Drosophila melanogaster: one gene and its partners. Each later gene encodes a partner of the first gene's protein in a complex. Each region holds a gene or a part of one and is shown in the gene's direction. Other genes may lie near its edges.

The links.
Region 2: Ing5 (region 1) and Br140 share a complex: the UniProt entries of both Drosophila melanogaster proteins name them as parts of the enok complex.
Region 3: Ing5 (region 1) and Eaf6 share a complex: the UniProt entries of both Drosophila melanogaster proteins name them as parts of the enok complex.

Annotation. Positions count from the first base shown.
Region 1 is NT_033779.5:13,385,182-13,389,619, reverse strand, and holds Ing5 (inhibitor of growth family member 5), read left to right. Parts: upstream 1-2,307; 5' UTR 2,308-2,406; coding exon 2,407-2,443; intron 2,444-2,506; coding exon 2,507-2,863; intron 2,864-2,929; coding exon 2,930-3,132; intron 3,133-3,362; coding exon 3,363-3,521; intron 3,522-3,583; coding exon 3,584-3,685; 3' UTR 3,686-3,772; downstream 3,773-4,438. Other genes in the region: CG7099 (uncharacterized protein), read right to left, coding at 1-424, 499-1,234, 1,289-1,841, 1,900-1,984; loqs (loquacious), read right to left, coding at 4,388-4,438. UniProt on the Drosophila melanogaster protein: Component of the Enok complex which has a histone H3 acetyltransferase activity.
Region 2 is NT_033778.4:7,271,326-7,279,848, reverse strand, and holds Br140 (Bromodomain-containing protein, 140kD), read left to right. Parts: upstream 1-1,747; 5' UTR 1,748-1,966; coding exon 1,967-3,110; intron 3,111-3,176; coding exon 3,177-4,435; intron 4,436-4,491; coding exon 4,492-4,763; intron 4,764-4,959; coding exon 4,960-6,577; 3' UTR 6,578-7,574; downstream 7,575-8,523. Other genes in the region: Incenp (inner centromere protein), read right to left, coding at 1-742, 808-988, 1,052-1,120. UniProt on the Drosophila melanogaster protein: Scaffold subunit of the histone acetyltransferase (HAT) Enok complex which has histone H3 acetyltransferase activity.
Region 3 is NT_037436.4:5,606,342-5,610,489, reverse strand, and holds Eaf6 (Esa1-associated factor 6), read left to right. Parts: upstream 1-2,189; 5' UTR 2,190-2,256; coding exon 2,257-2,403; intron 2,404-2,470; coding exon 2,471-2,684; intron 2,685-2,806; coding exon 2,807-2,938; intron 2,939-3,024; coding exon 3,025-3,209; 3' UTR 3,210-3,328; downstream 3,329-4,148. Other genes in the region: mthl2 (methuselah-like 2), read right to left, coding at 3,674-3,767, 3,824-4,018, 4,080-4,148. UniProt on the Drosophila melanogaster protein: Component of the Enok complex which has a histone H3 acetyltransferase activity. Might be involved in transcriptional activation of selected genes.

The DNA of each region.
Region 1 (4,438 bases):
TGATCAAGTGGAAGTTACTCTTTAGCTTGACAATCTCGCGTTTCATGACCGCGTGGTCAAGCCCGATCTTTGGATGCGTGGCGAAACGGTAGACACGAACTCGCTGATTGTAGTGCAGTGTGATCTCGAACACGTTTATAATATTTTCCTCAACCATTGGACGCAGCAGGCGCATCAACGAGCGGCGACATAGGCTGTCCTTAAAGCCGGCCTGCCGCTCCGTTTCCTGGACGGATCTTAAGACGCGGGGCAGGGACACCAAACAATTCTGGTCGATCTGGCGCACAATCATTTTCTGGCGGTTAATTTGGCGCTGCGTTTGATTGGCGGCTCTGGTCTTCTTAATTTTGAACGCTATGGGTCGGGCATTCGTCACGATCTCGGGCAAGTCCTTCAGCAGGACATCAGTGCTTTCGGTAATATTCTAGATAATAATATAGAAATACTAGGATAAACGCTTTTTCCTTATATAATATATATATATATATATATACTTACCGGCTCATCCTTACACCTAATCTCCAGTGCCTTTTTCTTGATCTCGTCTTCTTTTGAAAGGTCCCCCAAATGTCCTACGGCCACAAAGCGGAACTGCCGGCTCTTTCCCACCTGCTCCGAGTACTCTTTGACCAGGCCGTGCTTTTTCACTCGCTTCACAAAGTGTCGCATGTAGGTGGCGTTGATACCCGTGTAGTGGCACAACTCGTTGCTATTAAGACCACGTTTACCGAATCTCGCCACTGCGCGGAAAACTTCCTCCTCCGGAGGCATATCAAGAAAGCAGTGGCCCAGATCCAAGAACTCGGATACCTGATTATCCTCGCTGTCGTCGTTCTTGTACAGGTCCTTCAGTTGCATATCCGGATTGCGCAGCTGTATCACTGTCACCTTGCGTGTGGTTGCTTTGGACTGCTTTCCCGACTTTGTCAGTGGCGCAACGGGCCTTTCAACTTGCTTAGTCTCGAAGAACTTACGAAAGGAGTGGGTCACCAGCAATTTCTTTGTCTTAAAATTGGTAGGACGGCCTAGAAGATCGGTTATTTCGGTGACGGGCACTTGGCGGCTTGGCGTCCGCATTATTCCCAAGTATAGTTTTTCAAGATTTTCCTGAGAGTGGTTCTTGTAGATGCGGTAAAAGCGCGGTAGCATCAGCAGCGAAGAGACCAAGATGCGTCCCTTGTTAATTTCGTTATAGTTTTGGGCAATAATCAACTGCAGATTTATCAACTTGTTTCTGTAAGGAATGTAATTTTAAATATTAAATATAAGTATAGTTCATAAAACTCACTTGATATAGAAGAGAATCCCTGTGTCCTTGCTGTAGTTTATAAGCGACCAAGGGCCTGCGGTGGTGTGTCCGCTGTACCGAGACCGTCCGATGGCCTCCAGAAAGATGTAGTTGGGCAGTGGCAGATTCTTGGGCATCAGGAGGCTTTCGGGCGTGAGTGCTGTCTCCCGCAGCTCTTGGGAGGCCACCACTACGAGCCTGCCCGCCCACTGTTCCGTTGCTTGAGCGGCATTAAGAGAATGCAGATCGCTGGAAGGGATCAGCTTACGTGTCTTGAAGTCGTTGCAATTACCCTTAATGTCGCCCTCTTGCACATAGGCGGCCGGGAACAACATGTACGGACACTGCTCGGGCACCACGGGCAATCCCAGCTGCTCGTCGATGTCGTTGAGGCGATCATAGTAGGGCATTAGTGGTCTTTCCGCCGGCAGTTCAAAGAACTCGATCTTGTGAGGCGGCGTGCGTAGCAGCAAGGTCCACGTCTGTTCCCGGATGCGGTCAGGCAGCGGAGAGGGGAAAAACTCCAGTCGCCTGGCCAGAAGATCCCAGAGATCTAAAAGCATAAACAAATAACTTGGAGTTGATGTGTGGAGGGCATGGAAATCTCTTACAGGGCAATGTCACTCCCTCCAGACCCTCCAGAGCTACCTCATCGTAGATGGCATTAATCCAGGATCCTCCGGAACTGGCGCTCATTTTTCAAAACTTAATTTACCTTTAAAATGAGCTATCAAAACAAATTAGTGTTTTTGATTGTGATTATACTAGATGTAGAGTTGCCAACCATCATAAAGTTGTAACCACACTTAAAAACAGCTGTTGCGCAGTCGTAACTAAAAGTTTTTCAAAGATTTAGCAAATAACTACCACAAAATCCGATCCGAAATCTACTTAATGTAAATATTTTATTTTTTCTTTTAATTTTTAAATTTAAGCACTGCCCAATTGTTTTGGGTTATGCTTTTAACCACTGTAAAGTAATCGATAACTTTAAAAAGCGAGCTGTCATCCCTAAATATCCCATGTACAACAATACAGCTGTTGCTATCGTAAACAGACGCTGGAATTTAGCTTACACACTCCATATTCTTTGTTAAATCCGATATTTGACACCGAAAATGTCATCGGCTATATACCTAGAGAACTATTTAGACGGTAAGAAGATTCTTAAGCATGGAAAACACTCGAAAACATATATTATTCACGATTTACAAACAGGATTGGAAAGTCTGCCAACGGAGCTGGAGAGAAATTTTAAGCTGATGCGAAAATTAGACGATCGAGCACAAACAGCGATGAAGAGCATCGATAGCCATGCCAAGGACTTTATGCGCAAGCTGGGCGAGAACGGGGCCATGAGCGAGGATGAGAGGAGGGAGCGCCAGGAGGATATCAAGGCACTGTTCGGAAAGGCCAAGGAGTACAGCGACGACAAGGTGCAGCTGGCCATTCAGACCTACGAACTAGTGGACAAGCAGATACGGCGACTGGACAACGATTTAGCACGCTTCGAGGGTGAGATTCAGGAGAAGGCCTCATCCACGCGTGCCAAATCCGAGGAAGTGGTGGCCAAGAGTAAGACTGTTCCAAAGTATCTATTCTTCCACAAGCTGACCCCTTCCTTTGATTCCATTTGTACAGAAGGTCGCAAAAAAACCAAGGACAGCAAGACGACGGGCAAAAAGAAAAAGTCCGCATCCTCGGATGAGGAAACTGGGCGCGGCAACAACCAATCTAACGCCAATTCCAGTGTCAATTCGAGCAGCAATGCCGGGCAAGGTAGCAAAAAGAAAAAGTCCAAGGTAAATCAAGAAAAAGAAACTCGCAAGGGGGGCGCTCAAAAGGTAAACCATCCACATTCTCATCTATACATTGTTAGAACTTTAGTATGTTTACTGTTTCCCAGTTTTCATTGACCCTAAATAGAATACTCTTTACTTTTATAGATTATCCCCATAGAAATCCTGCATTATCCACTGTTTTCCATATCGTTTGCATTTTCACTTATGTACATGCACGCCTCCACTATCGTCGAAACCCCATTCTTACTCATTTTGCTAACATACCCATTTAGAAAACCGTCGAGGTTGATGACTCTGAGAAGGAATCGTGCCACACGGCCGCCACTCATCCCAGCGACGTTATGGACATGCCCGTCGATCCCAATGAGCCCACATATTGCCTATGCCACCAGGTGTCCTATGGAGAGATGATTGGCTGCGACAATCCCGACGTGAGTATTCGATTTTGATGTACTCTGTGGTCAGTTCTAGATCTTTCACTCTACCATTTTAGTGTCCCATCGAGTGGTTTCACTTCGCTTGTGTTGGCCTCACCACAAAGCCAAAGGGCAAGTGGTTCTGTCCCAAGTGTACGCAGGACAGAAAGAAGAAATAGATGCAATCCTTTATGATTACTTAGAATACTACTTTAGATTAAGCACAAAATTACCTATTTAAATAAAGCCACGGCTACTATAACTTCAGTATTATATTTGTCAATTTATTTCCTAACTAATTTGTAGTTAAATAATTCCATATCATAAAAGATGTTTTCACAGAATATTTCTAAAGTTGGATTGATTAATTTCAATTCATCAATGCCCTTTAATTCGGAGTTTACAAAGTTTTTCAGCCCAAGGAAAAGAAAACTGCAAAAGTAGCGATTACCAAATACCGATTATATTCATAAGCCTTTTTCCTTCGCAAACTAGCACGTAGTCTACCTTAAACCTAGTTTTATCTGCCGTTTTACGTTTTTCAGAATTTGAAAGCGACTAGAAGATTCCAATATCGATTACACGCTTGTCTGTATTTGCAAGCGTACATACATTCATCGGTAAGTGTAGTACATATATGAACATTTACATATGCAGTTAACAAATACAACTGCCTAATCAAAGGAATCGGTGGAAAAGAAACAAAATATATATATATATATATGTAACATCGCCACTGCATTGAGCCAAAAAGTGGAAAGAAAAGCAATTAGACTGGTGCATTAGTTATCCCGTATCCACTCGGTAATCGCTCTCATCAAATACTCGTGATCGTGGTCGTGGTGTGCGTTCAGATTTTGCTATTCAGTTGGCTGCACCCCCTACTTCTTGGTCATGATCTTCAAGTACTCGAGGGCATTCTGGGCGGCATG
Region 2 (8,523 bases), on another chromosome or scaffold:
GATCGCTCCTGAACCGTTCGCGAATCGCTGCTACACTTGCGCGTGCGCGACGAGACTGGCGAGCTCTTGTCCAGGTCGCTGAATCGTTCCACCTTTATGGGTCGGTGGCTTTCCACGTCCTTCTTCTTCTTGCGGACCTTCTTGGAGACCTCCGTGGATGTCGTCGTGTTGCTGGCCACCGTATCGTCCGGTCGCGCTGCCTCCGTTGTTACAGAGGAGACGGTGGTCACATTTGCCGTGGAGACCGCATTGGTTAACGGGGGCACTGCTTCGGTACTGAGTTTCTCGCGCTTTACCTTCACGCGGAGTGTCTTCGTGGTGTTCACGTCCTCTGTGACTGAGGCCTCCTCCGGAGGCTTTTGCTGCTCAGCTGTTTCTGCTGCTGGCTCTTCTAGTTCCGGCTCCGCTAGTTTATTTTCCTCTAACGCCTGTGCACTGGTGAAGCTGTTAAACTGGGAGACTCGCTGCTCGCTCTCAACCTTGACCTTTACGAGCTCCTCGCTGCTGGGCCGCCGCATCTTACGGTTGAGTGAGGGCTCCTTGAGTAATTTCTCGGTCTTCAGCTTAGCGGCTCGCTGTGGCCTTCCGGAGCCGAGGGTGGTGTCCGCCGAGACGGGCACAGGCGGAGGCGGCATCAGCGAGGCCGTGGAGTTGTGCTCGTCCTCGGCGATAGCCAGCAACTGGGAGTTGCTGACCCGAGTGCTTTGACGGGCCGACGTGTTGTTGGCCGTGGCGTCTGGAGCTGCTCAAATGGAATATCACAGGGGTTGTTGGTCGTTAATGCTTTAAAATGGCCAGGATACTCACCCTCGGGCTCATTCTGATCCTCGGCCAGTGAGGTGAGTCGCTTGGGGCGCTTTTTCGTTTGCTGCGGCGTCACCGAAGAGTTCTCCTGACTCTTCGCTGCCGGAGCACTGTCCCTCGGTTTGGCCTCCGCCTCCGGCTGGCCTGTGCCGTAGAAGAGGTGGTCCAGCTCCTCAAAGTGGGCCTAAAAAACACATATGACGCCATGTTGACAGTGTCGGAATTTCGTCTCCTGATCCTGGCTTACCTTGCGCAGGACCTCGAGCTCCCTGCGCAGGTCCGAAAGCGAGCCCAGCACGCCCAAGATGTCCTCCATATCTAGCGACTGTATCTGACAAACTGCAAATCCGGATTCGGTTCCTTCGATTTTATCGTTTTTTTCAAATGGCGGCAATTGCGACGCGCGTCAGCATTTGATAACATGCCTTTAATTGTGCACTGTTGACAGTTAACAGCTCGTCGGGTGCTGTAAGGCGCATTTATGCCTCTGCTTTCCAACACTGCACGGGCGATAAAGTTCCCGCGCAAAATGAAAAACACAACCAAAACTTGTTTTTTGAGTGAATATTGGGAGATATTTATTTGAATTCTTTAAAATAATATTATTGGGTTATTTAAATAGTTACGTACTGGATTTCTAGCCCTGTAAATTTTGAAAGTATAACATTAGGTGAACCAGTTCCAATACGTTCCCGCCACTACCATCTCTAGAAAGCAGTGCTGCACGGCTCCCCAAAAAACATATTGTAAACAAATTTGAGGGAAAATGGTAAGGGAAAGAACAAAAAGGAACATTTAAATTATAAATATAGATTACGGAAGAGAATTAATTTGCGTAAAGGACCGGAAATATTTCAAACAAGTTTCAGCAAACGTCCAGTGCTGCACAAGCACTTCCGACGATAGTATCGCCATGGCGAGCTGACCAGCAAGCCCATCTCTAGCACATTTGTTAAAAAATTTGCAACAAGCCAACGAAAATCGACCAGGAACGGTGGACAGCCAAAACCGCGCGCTCTGCGACGACCACCGTGGGATGCACATACGTATGCGCAGCCGTGCCGCGGAGTAGACACAGTGCCCGCGATCCGCGACCAGCGAACCGCCAAACCCCGAGAAGCCAGCTGCAGCAGATCCACAGATCGCGCCGCAGATCCAGATCATGGGCCTCGACTTCGACGCAGTGGAATACTGCAAAGGGGTGAAGACCCAGCAGTCCCAGCCGCCTTTCGCCTGTCCCGTCCGCGGCTGCGACCGCAGCTACAAGACCATCATGGGTCTGCAATACCATCTTATGAAGTACGACCACGACAACCCACAGCCGCTCACGCCCGTGCTGACTCCGAGCCGCAAGAAGGCGCGCTCACGCTCCGGCGGCCACCACTCCACGCCTCGTCCGCACAAGGATCACCCCACGCCGGGTGGCGGTGGAGCTGAGGCCAGAAACGGCTGCTCCTCGGCCAGCGCAGGAGGTGGATCGGCGAGCGGAGTCAGCGCCCGGCAGTACGCCAATCCAGAGTCACTGGTGTCCTACAACGAGGAGGAGGCCACGGTGACGTTTAACTTGGACGGGAAGAGCGTGCGCCTGGGCATCGACGACGCCTTGCCGCTCGTAGAGGACGAAGAGTTCGCCGCCCTAGTGGCCAGGGGCTGTATTCTGAATGCCGACGCACCACCGCTGGAGGAGAACGCGCCCTGGGCAAGGGTCCAGGTGCCCGTGGCCAGGGTGGCCGAGATTCCGGACTACCGAGTGTCCGACGCCCCGCCACGGCCGCTGGCCTACTATCGCTTCATCGAAAAGTCCCTGGAGGAGCTGGACGGGGAGGTGGAGTACGACGTTGACGAGGAGGACTCCGCCTGGCTGGAGCACATGAACGAGGAGCGCCAGCGACTCGGCCTGAACGCCGTGGGCATCGACACGATGGAGCTGCTGATGGACCGGCTGGAGAAGGAGTCGCACTTCCAGGCGGCGGCCAACGGCACACCCACAGGCGTCGAGGTGGACGACGACGCAGTCTGCTGCATTTGCCTCGACGGCGAGTGCCAAAACACCAACGTGATACTTTTCTGCGACATGTGCAACCTGGCGGTACACCAGGACTGCTACGGTGTCCCCTATATCCCGGAGGGCCAGTGGCTGTGCCGCCGATGCTTGCAGTCACCCAGTAAGCCTGTGAACTGTGTGCTCTGTCCCAATGCGGGCGGCGCATTCAAGCAGACGGACCACGGGCAGTGGGCGCACGTGGTGTGTGCGCTTTGGATACCGGAAGTGCGGTTCGCCAACACCGTCTTTCTGGAGCCAATAGGTGCGTAGCTCGATCTCCCAGTTTCTTTGATCCCAGTTCCAAATAACATCTGAGTTCTTTTTATAGATTCAATTGAGACCATTCCCCCCGCTCGTTGGCGACTCACCTGCTACGTGTGCAAGGAGAAGGGCTTGGGAGCCTGCATCCAGTGCCATCGGAACAGCTGCTACGCCGCCTTCCACGTTACATGCGCACAGCAAGCGGGCCTCTACATGACCATGGACACGGTTAAGGACGGGCACAACGATTCGTCCATGCATGTTCAGAAGTTTGCCTACTGCCACGCCCACACGCCGGCCGACGCCAAGCTCAAGATGAACGTGCCTGACTTCGAGGACACGCGTCACAAGATGAAGGAGGCGCGCAAGGCGTTGGCCAAGAAGCGCTCCACAGCGCCCGTGGTGCTGATTCCGACTATTCCGCCGGACCGCGTTCAGGAGATAGCAACAATGGTTACGATGCAGCGCAAGAAAGAGTTCCTTGACCGCATTATCGCCTATTGGACGCTTAAGCGACACTACCGCAACGGGGTTCCCCTCCTACGACGCTTGCAGAGCCAAGGGAACAACCACGGCGTGATACAGCGCAACGGCATTGAAGGATCGCCGGACACCGGCGAGCTGTACCGCCAGCTTAAGTACTGGCAGTGCCTTCGGCAGGATCTGGAGCGAGCGCGCCTCTTGTGCGAGTTGGTGCGCAAGCGCGAGAAGCTGAAAGTGGCTTTTGTTCGCATTTCCGAGGAGGTGGTCATGCTGCAGCTCAATCCGCTGGAGGCGGCACTGAACAAGCTGCTCGATGCTCTGGAGGCGAGAGACAGCATGCAGATTTTCCGAGAGCCGGTGGACACCAGCGAGGTGCCCGACTACACTGACATTGTGAAACAACCCATGGATCTGGGCACGATGAGGGCTAAGCTGAAGGAGTGTCAGTACAACTCGCTGGAGCAGTTAGAAGCTGACTTTGACCTGATGATTCAGAACTGTTTGGCGTACAACAACAAGGATACGGTGTTCTATCGTGCTGGAATCCGGATGCGCGACCAGGCTGCGCCGCTCTTTGTCCAGGTAAGGAAGGAGCTGCAGCGGGATGGCCTGCTGGCGCGATCACAACGCTACCACGTCGACCACGTGGAAGCGGAGGTGGAACAGGAGCTACGCTTGCTGCTGGCGGCGCCGGCCAGCGAGGGCATCGTCCAGAAGCTGCTCATTCTAGCCGACAAGTCGCAGGTGCTGAAGAACCCGACGTATCGCACCAAGAAGATAAAGCAGATTCGGTTGGAGATTTCTCGAATGCGCAAAAGCCTCCAGAAGGCGAGATTCGCAGCAGTGAGTATTGATTTTTACCCTATATGGTTCCAAAACTAATTCATATTTTTCCACAGCGTCACTCCTCGCACGCTAACCAATCCCAAAGCGACGATGAAGACACGTTGGGCGGTTCGCCTTCTAAGAAGCGCACCCGGAAACGATTCAATAGCAGTGGGGTGGACATGGAACTGGGGCATGATGATGATGATGAAGAAGAGGATTCCGATGAGGATTCGATGGGCGAGGATACTGTTTCCAAGGACTTGCTCAATTCCACGCAAACGCCGCCCTGCAGCCCCATTAAGAGTTTAAACAACAGCAGCTCTCCCGTAGGCATCAATAGAAGGTAAGTAACTTGATGAAGTCCCTCGACCATTAACCTTCCTGGTACTTTTCCACCAGGCAAATAGCTTTAGTGTTTACAAGAGCTTTTCCAATCGAAATCGTAACCTTTAGGTTTCTAGTTATGGATGTTCTTTAATTTTGAATATTCTTTATTTGGTGGTCAATCCAATACTTAAAATCTGTAAAATCCGTTTCAGAACCGCCATATTGTTAACGCGCAAGGCACAGGCTGCCCTAAAGAGACCGTCGGAGCCGTTGACGACGCCTGTTAAAGAGGAGCAGCACAATTCGCAGTCGTCCAACACGCAATCCACCAGCGGTAGCTCATCCTCCGTCACCACGGCGGCCACGGCCGCGTCTAGTGGAGCGGGCACTCTGAATCACGTCCTGTCCTCCGCACCGCCAACTGCCTCCAGCTTCGCGTTGACGCAGAACAACAGCAGTGGCGGTGGAGCTCTGGCATCGGGAACTGGAATAGGAGGGTCGTCCTCAGCGGGAACCGCTGCAGCGGCGAGCTTGACCTCTACGGCCCTCGCAATGAACAGTAAGCTAAGCGCGAATCTGCCTGTCAAGTCGCCCAAAAGACCAGGACGCTATCGTCGGGTGCCGGAAGTGAGGCACAGCTCCTCCATGTCACCAAAGAAGTCGCCCAATCCGGCGGTGACCGTCAGCCAGGCACTACCCATGCCCGAGACCCTACCCTTTGAACGAATACCGGACAGCTTTCGGGTGTATAGAGCCAATAATCAGCGCGACGTTAGTGACAGCGACGACGCTCCCTCGCAGTCGAGCAGTCCGTGCAGCAGTTGCTCAGACTTCAGCATGTCGGGCAGCTGCTCTGACTTTGACAGCGATGAGGCTAGCGAAGGCGATGCTGATGGAGATCCTGACAGAGATGGCGGAAGGAGTCGCAGCGAGGAGAGGGACTCCACGTCGCAGGAGGGCACCACCGACGCCATGGACATGCAGCACGCCAGCCTTAACAATGTTCAGGGAAACAACGGCAACATGGCCATTAGCAGCAGCAGCGGAGGAAGTGGTGGCAGCTCCAGCGAAGATGACGAGCTTGAGGAGCGGCCACTGAGCGCGCGGCAGAACAAGCCGATGAAGGTGGGAACGCGAGGAACGCCCACTCCTACGACAATGGCACGAGCAGTAGCTTTGTCAGCGGGTCGGGGACGTGGCAAGCGGCGAAGCAATCTCAGCGAGTCCACCAGCTCCACGGCCACGCCACCGCCACTGCGAAGAGCTGGAAAGCTGCGGTCAGCCACGCCCAACGCCTCTCCCCTGGTGAACAACATCAAGGCGCGTAGGAACACCACGGCGGCTGGCAGTGCACCTCTCACGAATAATAACCGCAGCAAGCACAGTGAGGATTCCGCCTCGTCGGAGAGGCACAATAACCACTCGCACGGCCAGAAGCCGGCGCTGGAGCCGCTTCAGCTGGTTTGGGCCAAGTGCCGTGGCTATCCCTGGTATCCCGCACTCATCCTTGATCCCAAGACGCCCAAGGGATTTGTGTACAACGGAGTGCCGCTGCCCGCCCCACCCACCGATGTGCTGGCGCTGCGGAAGAACTGCCTCGACGAGATTGTGTTCCTGGTGCTTTTCTTCGATGTTAAGCGCACCTGGCAGTGGCTGCCGGCCAACAAGCTGGACATCCTCGGGATCGACAAGCAGCTCGACCAGCAAAAGCTGGTGGAGTCGCGAAAGCCGGCGGAGCGGAAGGCCGTAAAGAAGGCGTACCAGGACGCGCTACACTACCAGAGCCAAGTCTCCGACTTGGAGGGCCAAGGACCCGATCCGATCATGTGAAAGCTGATGGCCCGATTGCAACTGTAGGCGCCGCTCGAAAGAATTCAGCCATTTAGTTAGCTCCCCCACAAGGGATCGCCGTATTTTTATATCTCGTTGTTGTTACTTGATACTCGAAGATGACGCAGTTGAAGAAGGCCCTCCATTAGAGTATTTCGTTGGCGAATTTCCAATTTGCACTGCAAGTGTCTTTAATTTTCGTTTGTTGCCAAGCCAAGTCACCAAGGATCGTTTACCCCAATACCATTATGTACAGTACAGTTTTTGTAATAGGCGCAGTTGGCGAAATCGTTGGAGGATCCTTACCCTTGTACATTATTTGGCTTTTGAGACTTCGATTGTGAAATGTTAAGTAGATCCAGGAATCGCTCGAACTACAGCAACATGGAATTTATAACCTCAAGACGATTCACGCGAAATCAAATCAATGTTTAAGTTAAATAGTTTTAAGCTCTCCTACTGTTAAGCCCGGAATCAACATTATAAGCACAAAACCAACCGCTAAAACCAAGCAAGCAGTCGCCTCAAGTTAAAGTCGTGTAAAAACTAGCCGCTATATAGGGGACTAGAGATGATTATAAACATTTACAAATAGCATTACAAATTGTATAGATGTGAGTGTGTGTGTGCGCGTGAGTCTCCATAAATCGATTTATCTCTATATGCAAATAGTGTACGTCTTGATTTCCACATGAACAAATAAACCATTTGATTATTGCGATGTATTAAAGAGATGCGGATTATTATTATTATTATTATTATTATTATTATTATTATAATTACTGTGTGTAATTAATGCAACACTTTCGTATGCCTAAGTGGAACGCGTAGATAATTAAGTATTGAAGTAGTTGGCTCCCGTACCCCCCAGCTCCGCCACCCAAAAACTCAATCCACACCAGTCCACCACCTTTGCCCTTAAAAAGATCGAACATTGTTTAAACCTAATGGTAAATACAAGCAGAAAAATAAATGTTTTAAACGAAATCATTTCACTTTAATAGCCTTTGTACTCATCAGTTTGACATGCATTCGACTGGCCCACAGTTTTGGCAGCTTCGCATCGCAATCGCGATCGACACCAAAAGTGCGTCAGTGGGGTTCGACAGGAATTGACTTATATTTACTTTGAGTATCCCCAGTTCGTTCACCGGGTTTTGAGGGGTCCGCTAACAGTGTCATATTCACCCCACATCAATTATCACCCCGGCAGATGTTTTGTTTTACAGTTTTCGGCAGTACGGTTTTAGCCCGGGCACATGACACGTGATTCACCTGCACCTGCTCCACGGTAATTGGCTTTCGATTTCATCCCATCTGGCTGGCTAAACACTCTTATGAAATCTTACATTACATGTATCTAATTTACTTTACTAAAGCAATAATTTAATTGAAATAATGATTTAGGAACTTGGAAATGCAGTTAAATGATAAACCAAAAATTGATTATTTCATGAGGGTATTCATTCATATTTACTGCCCAACAATTTTCGAGAATAGTATCTTTCGTTCAAAACCCATAAGTCACGGCTCGGAGGCATGATTAAGCCAATTAATTTGAGGAGCAAACAAACCCATAAGATTGAGCAAAACGATTAAAACAGAGCGTAAACAAAGTGTTTTTTGTGAAAAATTAAGTTGTTTGCGTGACAAGTGCAACGCTCAACAAAAATAAATCTTGAAATATTCTCTACGCATTTTTCACGTGCTCAGACTTGAGAAACCGCGCCAATTGTGTTTGGGCCACAGTTCGCAAACAACTCAAGTGCTAAGCCCGGCTCAAAGTTGTCAGACCGGGCTTATTCACAGCTACCGTTCATTGGCGGCAATCGAGGAGCTATTAAACAACTCAATTTGAATTTAACTGTAGATGATAGAACGCCCAAACGGCCAGCTGCTGACCTCAATTAGCAATGCATATTTATCACCCCTGTTGGCCTATCCGG
Region 3 (4,148 bases), on another chromosome or scaffold:
TTAAATAAAAATAAAAATTAAGATATTAAAAGTGTATTTCCCATTCTTATGGCTTATTGACATTTCACGAGTTGTCAATTGCTTTTGGCGTTTTTTTTTACGCAAAAGTTTATTTTAATTCCTATATATTCGTATATCAAAAGTTTTTTTAACGACTCTGCGTATTGTTGAGTACTTTATCATTAATAGAAAGTACATCCTTTTTGATCCCCCAACTAAACCCATTCAGAATTAGTGCAATGCGCACATCTGGTTCTTAAATTTAATTAAAAATATGCTACTTGAAAATATTGCTCTTGCTGAACGTTTCATCTTGCAGTTTTCGCTATCTGCCCAAAATGAAGCAGACTCATTTTCACTCGCTTGGCGTTGGGAAAGCGCCGGCTCGGCCTATGTATGCTATATGTGAAATTCTCGGAAAAGTCGAAAACACACTAAGCGGAGTGCAACAACAACGTCATCGTTGCAAGCATTGAACTCGATTTTGTTTTCATTGCCGCCTGAATTTCTAAAACGCAGCTAATTAGTCGAGAGTGTTTGTGTTGCTGCTGCTGCCGCAGTTGTTGCACTTGCAACACTGCTGCTTCTTTAGCTGTGTTCCACTTTTCTGGCAGTTTTCCACTTTTCCACCGGCCAATGCTGCGACTGCTGCAGATTTCACACGCGGCCAGGCAATTCATCATAAAAATTATAGTAAGCTGCCATCCAATGGCAGCACTGACCAAAAACAGTTGCAGTAAGCAACAAACTAAAAACTAAGTTAAAAAATATATGTATATTAATAAAAATGTATCGAAGAAGTTACAAATACATTAAGAAGTAACTAACTAACGTATCTTTATTGACAGCCACAATAAACTTCTAAATATTTTTCCCAGTGTAAACCAGAAGAAGGTGGCTTAAGACGATCGAACGTCAGAGTTTTCAGTTGGCAGATGTTTGCTTAAAACCAAATATAAATAAGTTTTTCCAAGTCTAAGTCCAGGCCGCGCCTTGTGTGTTTGTTTAAATAAAATGAAAGTTTTTTTGCTGCACTTTTTGTTGTTTCGCGAATAAGCGCGCGCCAATGTTTGACATACATTGAATAGACTGCAGTCTGTCAGTCAGTCGGTCACTTAGCCACTGAGCCAGTTAGTCACCTAGTCACTAAGTCGATTGTGTTAGTGGAACACGACGGAATGGCAGACTTTGCTTTAGTCAGCGACTTGCAACGGTCGTTGCCGTTTCGCTTTTGCTGCCCGCTGCATTATGATTTCATTTTCTAATCGAGTTCGTCTTCATCCGCAGCCTCACTTTATATTGCTTTCCTATAGTCAGCGCGAAAGGCGATGTGCTGCAGAAATAAAATCACGCATACGCCGCGTATGACGAAAGTGAAATAGGCGCGACGACGAAGGCCCATAAAAAGCGGTAGCCAAAATAGAGCCAAGTAAAAGAGAAAGAGTAGGCGGCAAGAGAGCGAAAGGCGGAAAAAGAGGAAAGAGGGTTCGGAAAGAAATAGAGAGCTAGAACGGTAGCTTCACTTTTTTTCGGCAGTTCAACAAACTTTGAAACGAACTTGGGTCAACAAACTATGCAAGACCCACGGGGAGATCATTAGAAGATCACCATCAAAAAGACGATGATGATGGCGCTACAGCTGAACTGAATCTTTTGTCCGTGGTATACGCATAAATAAAAATAACAAGACGAGAGGTCAATGGCAGCCACACTGGCTTCAAAATGCAAAGTGGTGAAGGGGCAAGCACTGTTAAATAAAATCTAAGAAAATGTGAAAAAAAACATATGGATCTAATAAGAAAAATCTTACAAAAATAAATGGTCATCAAGTTTTGTAACTGAGTTCTTTGACCAGTTTTTTTTTTTCCTGGGCTATTTTTTGATTTCGGCAGTCCTATTCACTTACAAAAGTGAATAAATGCAGTATTAACAAACTTTCAATGGATTTATTATGAAATAACTTTGAATTTTAAGTGCAGAAACTAACATTTAAAGAATCTATAAAACATATACACAAATAATATAAGACTTATTCATTCAAACTAATAGTTTATAAATTAGCTTGTTAAAGAAAAACGACAACGCCACCTATGCAATTAGGTTAAGAACTAGCATGCATATTTCAGCAAAGACATAAACCGATAGTCGGAACAGATATCCGTAAATCGATTAATTGTAATTACTTTTTATCAATATCCGGTCACATTGTCCAAAACAAAATATAAATTTGTTGAAATTCGAGCATTTTCTGAAAATATGAGCTCGCCAACGAGTAAAAATGTCAGCGAAACGAACGGGAACAAGCCAAAGAAGTCGGCCAAAACGAGCTCGAATACGAAAGGCGGCTCCATGGACACTCGCGCCGAGTTGGCGGACCTCATCAAGAAGAAGGCCGAAACATCGGTGAGACACAATATAAACAAACCCGAAATCGCAGCACTTTATCATTTTTTTGTTGCATAAATGACAGGAACAACTGGCCAATCTGGAGCGACAGATCTACGCCTTCGAGGGCTCCTACCTAGAGGACACGCAGTTGTGCGGAAACATCATCCGAGGCTGGGAGCGCTATCTGACCTCCAACAAGGCCACCAACTCCAAGGCCGACAAGCGGAATCGCAAGTTCAAGGAGGCCGAGCGCCTGTTCTCCAAGTCCAGCATCACCTCCATGGCTATATGCAATCGTAAGTGGGGGATAATTCATACTGTGTCATTCGCTTGTGTAATCGATCTAGGCTTTATGCCCAGAAGGGTGTAAATTGATACGCTTTAGTTGCCATACATGAGTATGTTTATTCGCCTTTAGCTGAGCGCGCCAGCGAATCGGATTCCATCACAAATGAAGACTCCAGCGACAATCAGATCTCAATCAATCAGAACACCACAACGGCCCACGACGGAACCACGACAATCAAGAGCACACCGAAAGACGAAAAGGGTAAGGCAGCACAGCACATTGAGATTCAACTTTAGCGCTTTTCTCCAGAAAAGTATATATGTTTAATTACACCTTTTTATTTACAGATTCACCCTCGCATCGCAATGAGGGCAGCGTAGTGAGCGGAATGGTGTCTGGATCTACGAACAGTGGAGGGAACAAGGATCTCCTCGGCACACCCACTTCGAATACAAAGAGCAAACTATCCACGAACTCCAGTGCGACAGCGAAGAAAAGCGGTCACATAAACAAGAAGATTCGACATCGATGATAACTGCTACCGTGTAATCCGCATCTGATAAAGCACTATTTACCTTCAAAGTTTTTAAATTAAAATTTGTACATGAAATAAAGCGAATGTAGATTTACAAACTTAGTTTATTTCCATACAAATGTCTTCTTTCTACATTTATCACTTCAATATTTAAAGGCAACTACTTTCAGCATCGCGTCATACTTTTGACTCATAGTTTTGATAGACATACAGGGTTTTTCCTCGGCTCAAAGTTAAGTTTGCAATAGTTTGATTAGGAAATGATGAGTAAAATATATTGTGGCACACTATAGTCGATTTTCTATAGTCGATGCACGTCATATAAAGAAAAATATTCATACATTTTGTGATTAAATGAATTCTATATAGAATGTAGAATGAAGTGAAATATATTCATACATTTTGTGAGAAAAAAAGTTATACTTTACTATTAAATTGATTAATTCGAAGAGAAGAAAATACTATGTCATGTTAAAATGCCTTTTTGTTTGAGAAATGGATTCAATCGTACTTTGAGTTGCAGATCTACTAAAGGCTCTCTGTTTGGGAAATATTCTGAAAAGAGACATTTTAGGGAACTGGTTACCCGAACTATGAACTATAAGACTTACTGTTTCTTGAATAGTACAAGAGTTTTGCGCCGCAGAATGAATAGCACAAATATAATGACGCCTTGGGACCAGTTGAAGTAGTCAGCTACCAGAAAGATATTGACCCACAGTTTCTCGCGTTGCACCAAGTAGGAGAATATCTCAAAGCTCCACGACATCCCCATCACAGTGAAGAGCAGCAGAAATTGTGTGTAACTGTAACGAATTGATAATATTTATCTTAAACTGACATTTTCAACTATTATAATTGATATACTTCTGTTTGTCCGAATTCAGCTTCTGTATTCTACCTTCATTGCGAGCAATCTTTCGAAGAGTCCTCTTG